Linked DNA regions of Neurospora crassa OR74A. The protein of the gene in region 2 binds, or shares a complex with, the protein of the main gene of each other region. Links are inferred from orthologs where the notes say so. Each region holds a gene or a part of one and is shown on either strand. Other genes may lie near its edges. The genes, in order: NCU09465 and NCU08503.

Region 1 (3,799 bases), about 940 kb from region 2:
AGGAGGGAGGGGTAGCGAACCGTCCACGTCAAGAGACGCTCTTCTCAGCGAAGATCTCGTCCGCGTCATCCTCGACCCCGAAGCAAGCATAACATTAGACGGCCAACCCTGGACAGCAGACGAGTCCGATCAGACTGCCCATCCATCATTACCCGCAAATGGAACCACAAACAACACCCCCGGCACTACCATTCCATCTGCCTCCTCGTCCTCCGGCGGCCCCTCAACAGCTGAAACCCCCGATTCCATCAACCCCAGCACCAAACCCTCCCCCTTCCAACAATCATCATCACCCGACGAAAACCCCAACCCTCGAAAACGCCGACGCCTAGACTCCAGTCCGCCCTACGGAGTGACCAGCGTTTCGACCTCATCACCACTAGGCGGCGAGCAATGGATCGTCAAAACCGGCCAGTGGCGGCTGCGTATTCAGTCAAGTCCCAACCCCAACCCGGCTAAGGCGTCGGTGGTGGAATGTTGTTTGGTGGCGGTTAAGCTTGATGCGCTGAGCAGCGAGAGGAAGAGGAATGAGAGGAGGGGGTTTTTGGGTGGTTAGGTACCTGACATTGACATGAGGGTGAGGCCCTGGGGGTACTGATGGGATGGAAACGGTTGATGGGGTGAGAGAGAATGGAGGGATGACGTGGAGGAGCAATGGGGAAGAGTTAACTGGATGGGGTTATATCGATCACATCAGATTATGAGCATACCTTATTCTACATTAATACGAGATGGAAAGTTGGAAAGAGGATAGTCAATGCAAGATTCTCGTGGCAGGTGTTGAATGCTCATTTTTCTTTAGGACTGTCATTGTAGTTTCCTACTTGGTAAAGAGCTTCAAGCAATAACTCCCAGATCACCAATTCCAAAGCAGATATCCCAACCCCAACGCCTATATAAGTAATATACACAAGATTCCAAAGCGTTGATAAAGTCCTATCACTTCCATCGCACGTTTCCGATCATGAGACACGTCCATCTAGTGCGCGATTTGAAGCCATCCGAGCACCTATCTAAATCAAGCCCCTGCCTTCGCACTCCGCCCCGCCATTCTTTCGATCTATTTGATATCCCATCCTAGCCAAGAAGCACGCCCAAAATCAACCGCTGCAACGTAGAAAACGCCTGTCCCAATGTTGATTGTGATGCCCAACACCCAACGCCCAAAGCACACGGTCGCAGACAAAAGCCAAGGGCAGCGAAAAGCCAGGCCCACCCATGAAGCATCCCCTTTGTTTTTGAATGCTTTCACCCAGCTGCTGGCAAATCCGACCGACGAATCCTTGGATGTAAACGGCACCAGGGGCCTGGAAGGTCATGGTCGCTCTGCTTGCTTTGTTCCCGGCGGCCGGGCAGCGACGCTGTTATTTTCTGGACGAGGTCGATCTGATCTCGGATCAAATCAAATCGAGTTGGTTCTGGTTATCATTATCGCCGGTTGAGGGTCATTCGCATCGGCGGGGGACAGCAGAGGATCTGTCGACTGGTACATTGGCTCGGTCGGCTTGTTTAACTGGCTGGCTGTGCCAGCGGGGCGTGATCTCGATGCAAACCAGGGCGAGGACGGCTGGTATGAACTGGACTGGGCTCGAGAAAGCAATCGGCTTGCTTCTGCTGTATCATTGTGGCTTTGGTTGCAAGTTGATGTCGGAAAGGCTGGTGTTATCCTAACCTTCAACCTCGGTGTACGGAATCATGAGCGCCTCGTTGCGAGCCACTTCTATATTCCGCGCCTCTTAGATTTTTCATTCGACTTCGTAGTCCCCCATTAAGCGGAAACAGCAATAGACGCCGCGGCATCCGGTGCCTTGGGGAGGTTATCCTGTTTAGGTAATCATCCGTTGGTTAGCAACACTGCTGCATTCCACCCAAAACTCTTCTCGCCTCCATGTCCTGGTCCCTCCCCCCACACACAGAAAATGGCAATACTCACAACTTCAAAAATGACCCTGACCATCAAGCTACAGCTCGGGCAAACGGCAATGTCCTGACCGTCCTGGAGGTCGGCGAGCGCAATCTCGAACTTGTCGCCGCATGGGCAGGGGTACGAATACGTCTGCAGCGCTGGGTCGTAGGTCATGTCTTCGATTTCGACTTCGTCGTAGATGGAGTATTCTTCGTCGGACATTTTGGTTATTTCGATTGAAACTTCGCGGCTTGTGGGATCTGTTCGGGTTGCAAATGTCGCGAGCTGGGCTAGATAGTATCGTTTGGATGGTGGAGCGAAAAAGTTGGGAGTGTTGGTTGGATTGGAGGCTGATGATATGATATGTTGGAAAGTTGAAGGAACGGACAGGGAAAAAAAAAGAGTCAGCGCGGCGAGCGGGACAGTGGAGGGGCAAAATGTCAGATGTGACGGGAACTGCAGTGAACTTTTGGCGCGTGCGGCGCGCGGATGGAAGTGTGGGGGTGGGCAGAGTATCTTACCGTGTAGTACGCCAAGATTGGGCAATGCGTGTAGGTCAAAGCTGTGTAACTTACCAAGACCTCGTATTGCTTCGTCACTACAGCGAATCTTCCTCAATCGCTGTAGTCATGCTACGCAAAAGACATGCCATGAGACCAAGCGCAGAATCCATTTATATAATGGCAAAAGAGAACCAAGCTATCCCCAAGGCTCGAAAAACTTTTCTGAGATTGCATATCACCGAAGAGCATGAAGATGAGCATGTTGTCACTGGCTGCAGGGCTCTCATCTTTTACTTATAAAGCCTAGGTATGAACCTTACTTTCAACAAGGCCCTATGGCGCAACGGTAGCGCGTTCGACTCCAGATCGAAAGGTTATCCGTTCAAATCGGGTTGGGGTCATCCACAATATCTTTTTGGCTTTTTGCTATTCATGCATCTGCGACCAGCAACCATCTCGTGTTTCTTTTTGCGTTTTGCGTGTTGAAGTGGTGGTCAATCTCCTGACATCATTTCCCTTTCTTTTCTTTGGTCGAAAGAAGTAGAGTATTTTTTTCGAACGAGTTGAGACGCTTGGAGGTCATATTCACCGAAAGATTAAGTAGGAAAAGAAACTCATTATCAACTCTTTTCTGTATGTACCAGATACGCCTCCTCATGCTTCTCTGCCTCCTTCTGGCCATCATCACATAACATTCACCTCAAGAACTGCATCTTCAAGAACCTCGCGTCCTTTCGCCCACTCGTACCGCTACCCACACTTCCTCTTTGATTTGTTCTCACGAAACCCCAACTATCTGGACTTCCATCCTCAGATCCACCTCCCAATACTGTTGTTGATGCTGTTGTGCCTCCATTTCTCCTCCTCTCTCACCAGGAACTTATCCCCAATCCCCTAACATCATTACCCTGAATTCAAGCTCTGCCGCACGTCTCCCCTTGTCAAATCATCCCTTCGATCTTAACTCGATGCTTCACTCTTCAGTCTCCGCGAATCTCCTCACCCAAACCTCCCCAAATAACGAAAATGAAACCAGCACCAAAGTCCCTTCGTGTGTGCTCAACAACCAACATTAGCGGACTCAACAACATCATGATTTGGATAACCACTACCACCGAACTATACCATACCGTCCTTCTATTCCCAACTCTTCATCATCAGAAAATAGACACCACGCATTCCACAGCATTACATCCCAGCCAATACCTCGCTCACTCGTTTACTTTCCCATCTCAAACAAACAACCAAACACCCCCAACCATCAACATCGAAACCGAAACCCAGACAACTCAACCCAGCCCCGAGACATCACAAACATTTTAACCCAAAAGACTAGGAAACCTCTTCTCACAACAAAACCATCCCCACCGCCGCAAAAACACCCAACCCC
Region 2 (4,232 bases):
ATCGGGAGATGCGCACGCCCAGCACGGGGCTCAACGCAGTCGCAGCGTGCTTTGCTCGGAAGGAGGAACTGGATAACCAGCTAGCAGATATCCTCATGGAAGCGTTACCGGCGCAAACAGCGGCTGAGATTCGCCAGGGTGCGAAGGAGACGGCCACGGTGCCGCATCTGATGGCTTTGACCAAGGATCACCTGAGGAGTCATCAGAAGAAGCCGGTCGCTGCTGTTACTGCCAGGCCAAGGGTGGTGCAAGCGCAAGAACAGGACATAGAACAGCAGAGGGAGACGGGCTCCGCCTTTACAGCTAATGATAACCTAGCAGCAGGCGAGATGAATAGGAGGAAACTGGGCTTTGGTTGGCGATCAGGTCTCTCGTCGTATTTACCCCTGAGAAGGGTTGCATCTGTTCAAAGGTAGAATTGCATTGACTGAAGAAAAGAGAGGGAATGGGACTAGGAAGGATAAGGACACTGGACGGACTGGATAGACGGATGGATATAAACGCAGCCAGGTTGAGCAATAAAGGGCTGGCTTCTTGTGCATTGTGATTGAACAAAAAGGTTGACATAACCTACCTTGTATACGTACACGCAAATCAATTGGATACATACCAAACCACAACCAAAACTTGTTCACATTTCACTTGCCATATTTTGTAAGTAATATTCTTCGTATGCAGAAAAAAAAAACAGATGAACCTCCTTTTTGTATAACCAATACGCCCTAAATCCCAAATTCATCATAGTACAGATACAGCCAACCACCCCGAGTCTCACAACCCTCAAACCTCCATAGCAGCAGGCTTCGTCCTCCCCAACCCCTCTCTACCATAATAATCCATCGGATACGCCCCCTTCCCCCAATCCTCCTTCTCCTCCAGCGCAATCAGCGCCTCATACGGCGTCAACAGCGGTCTAGGGAACGCATACCCCCAATCAATCGACAGTCTCGGACACGCCACCTGCACCCAGCACTCGACATCGCTCATCATCGCCAGCTTTCCCGGGAAAATCTCTGAAAGACAGAAATTGACAAACGGCGTGCCGTTGGCCTTTAGCTTCTCTTCTATGAGACCCAACGTATTGGGGTTCCCCTGCCGTCCGAGACTACCCAAGATCAACCCCCATTTCTTGGCCGTCTTGGCCTGGCGGATGGCAGAGCGGCGAACGTCCTGCATCTCTTCGTGGCCGTACGTTTCGTGCGTCAGTTTGCGGCTGTAAGGGTCGTACCGGTAGGCGGGGATGGATGGGTTGTGAATCATGATGGACTCGAGGTGGAAGCGGCCGTCGCCCAGGTACAGAATCATGTCGACTTGCTTGCCGGACGAGGTGAGGAACTGGGACAAGTTGGGGGATGTGCACCCCAGGATCTCGCCCTTGGAAAGCGGCGCGATTTGCGGGATGATGACTTCGTATCCGGCTTTTTGCAGCGTCGAGCGCACGCCGTGGATGGTGGCGTTGAATTGGATGGTGCCCACCATGGCGATGGATTTACCCGGCGCAAAGTTGCGTTCCAAGGTTGCCAAGAGGTGGGAGGTGTCGATGCTGATGTCCACAAAGACGTACAAGGTCTTGATTTTGGTGACGTCCACGGGGATGAGGCACGAATGCGCGTAGTGCACTAGCAGGTCGCAGCCCATGGCGCGGGCGGTGTAGTCGTCGATGCAGCAGGCGCCGTAGGTGACGTCGCCCATGATCAAGGTCTCGATCCCGGGGCAGAATTGGGTCAAGATGTCGGAGATGGTGGTGGCGAAGAGGAGCAGACCCTCGGGCATTTGCAGGGCCACGCGCTTGGCGTCCAAAGTGCGGATGCGGTGGATGGTCTTGTGGATCTCGAAGGAGTAGTTGGATGGCAGAAGGGCGATGGCTTCGTTTAGGGCGGCGTCGTGCAGGATCGAGTCGGGCACTTGGTTGAGCATCCGGGGCGCGCGGCGCGGTTGGGCTACTTGGATGGCGCCGCTGTCTTCGATGGAGGTGTTGGCCCCGGCGGGTTGGGAGGTGCTGTTGGATGAGGACGAGGAGGACTTTCCGGCGGCGGCGCTTTGTCGGCCCAGGAAACGCTTCTTGGGTTGTTTCTGCTGGACGGAGGGGGGAGGGGGAGGGTTCATCTCGTCGATGTCGGCGGCGATGCCGAGGTCGACTTGGGCGCGGTCGTCCTCCATGTTAAACCTTTGTGATTTTGTTGAGTCGAGCCCAATGATGATATCCAAACTCGGGTCTGTAAGGCTCAAGGGTGTTGCGAAAAAGTTGAGTGTCTCGTCACGCTTTCTGAGGTTGATATCTCTCAAGTGAGTGAGGTGAGGTAGGATTTGTCAAAGTGAAAATTGCCAAGTACCTTCTGGGGTTTACCAAAGTCTTGAACAACAAACTTTCAGCAGAAGAAGAGCACAATATATTGTGTCTGCAGAACTATTCAATTGTAGATTCCTTGAACATAGCGTATTCTATGTCTATCATTCGGTCAAGCTTGGCCTCATCTCACTTCTACCATAGCATGTCGTCGTGGATGTTGTCGTTGAGACTTGGGAACATCAAAGGTACAAAACCCCAATCCGGCAAAGCGTACCCAGCCCCACTTCTCCAAATGCTTACTTGTAGGCCTGGGCTCATGGGTCAACTTGTGCAAGTGGAAAGTTTCGCGGCTGGCAGTTGGTCCAAGCGCAGCGGGAGATTTTTAAGCGGGTCAGGCTGAGACGGCAGCCAATCAATACCCCGGAAATTGTGCCCTAAGATTTCGACCGTATTGTCCTTAGCAAAAGCGGTCACCACCCACACAAAATCTTCCCCTTCGGAATTTCTCGAGTCGTCTCAATTCGCAACACCCAACTCCGGTCGTTCAGCCCCAAATACCGCCAAAATGAAGGTACGACGACTCCCCGATATCCACGGCGTCATGGCTACGGCATGACTGCGTCTCTGTGCTTTTTCACGAGTCCGAGCGTCCAATGTCAAATTTCGACACCTGGAGGTCGCGAAAATGGGAACTTGGAGGAGGGAAAAGAGGAGCCAGAACATCACCACCGCGACAATGTTGATGATGGGAATGGAGACATGGACATGAGGCTGACCCCACGCCCACCAACAGCTGAACATTTCGTACCCTGCGAACGGCTCGCAGAAGCTGATCGAGGTCGAGGATGAGCGCAAGCTCCGTCACTTCATCGAGTAAGTGGCAAATCACATTACAAGCTGCATTTGGTATCCAAAGACATGTCGCTAACAGCCTCACTACAGGAAGCGCGTAAGTTTTCCCGACACATCGACGACACATCGAAACCAACTACGATGACCGAACCCGAAACTGACACGTCGACTATAGATGGGCGCTGAGGTCCCCGCCGACCCCCTTGGTGACGAGTGGAAGGGCTACATCCTCCGCATCACCGGCGGTAACGACAAGCAGGGTTTCCCCATGAAGCAGGGTGTCATTGCCCCCAACCGTGTCCGCCTTCTCCTTTCCGACGGCCACTCCTGCTACCGTGCCCGCCGCACCGGTGAGCGCAAGAGAAAGTCCGTCCGCGGTTGCATCGTCGGCTCTGATCTCTCCGTCCTTGCCCTCGCCATCGTCAAGCAGGGCGAGCAGGACATCCCCGGCCTTACCGATGTCGTCCACCCCAAGCGTCTCGGCCCCAAGCGCGCCACCAAGATCCGCCGCTTCTTCGGCCTCAGCAAGGATGACGATGTATGTGTTTCTCTACGCAATCTCGTCATCGCCTGCCCCCGAGCTGTTGCGATGATCCTCGCGCAGTTCGTCGGGTAGAGTCTGAGATGAACACCAAAGGCTAATTATCCACTTTTTCTACGACGAATAGGTCCGCAAGTACGTCATTCGCCGCGAGGTCCAGCCCAAGGGTGAAGGCAAGAAGCCCTACACCAAGGCTCCCAAGATCCAGCGCCTCGTCACTCCCCAGCGCCTCCAGCACAAGAGACACCGTCTCGCTCTCAAGCGCCGCCAGGCCGAGAAGGTCAAGGAGGAGGCTGTAAGTCTTGCCCAACCCCCTCGTTGAAAAGCACTGCAGAAATGCTAACCATCATAACAGTCTGAGTACGCCCAGATCCTCGCCAAGCGCATCGCTGAGGCCAAGGTCCAGAAGGCCGATGCCCGCAAGCGCCGCGCCTCCTCCATGCGCAAGTAAGCGTTCGGAGTCAGGTGTGATGGATGATATCCGGTTGCTTTCACGAATTCGGTCATGGCGCGGTTATCTGTTGACTCGACCGGGGGGCATGTTTGTTG

The links.
Region 1: NCU08503 (region 2) and NCU09465 share a complex: the UniProt entries of both Saccharomyces cerevisiae proteins name them as parts of the 2-(3-amino-3-carboxypropyl)histidine synthase complex. The link is inferred for Neurospora crassa OR74A from reciprocal best matches to the Saccharomyces cerevisiae genes DPH1 and KTI11.

The regions. Positions count from the first base shown.
Region 1 is NC_026502.1:4,367,951-4,371,749, reverse strand, and holds NCU09465 (diphthamide biosynthesis protein 3), read right to left. Parts: upstream 2,305-3,799; 5' UTR 2,129-2,304; coding exon 1,934-2,128; intron 1,823-1,933; coding exon 1,769-1,822; 3' UTR 775-1,768; downstream 1-774. Other genes in the region: NCU09466 (hypothetical protein), read left to right, coding at 1-556. UniProt on the Saccharomyces cerevisiae protein: Required for the first step of diphthamide biosynthesis, a post-translational modification of histidine which occurs in elongation factor 2.
Region 2 is NC_026502.1:3,432,690-3,436,921, forward strand, and holds NCU08503 (diphthamide biosynthesis protein 1), read right to left. Parts: upstream 2,548-4,232; 5' UTR 2,334-2,547; intron 2,314-2,333; exon of another isoform or gene 2,267-2,313; 5' UTR 2,161-2,266; coding exon 781-2,160; 3' UTR 608-780; downstream 1-607. Other genes in the region: NCU08504 (hypothetical protein), read left to right, coding at 1-416; NCU08502 (40S ribosomal protein S6), read left to right, coding at 2,856-2,861, 3,084-3,163, 3,233-3,239, 3,318-3,680, 3,811-3,978, 4,039-4,134. UniProt on the Saccharomyces cerevisiae protein: Catalyzes the first step of diphthamide biosynthesis, a post-translational modification of histidine which occurs in elongation factor 2.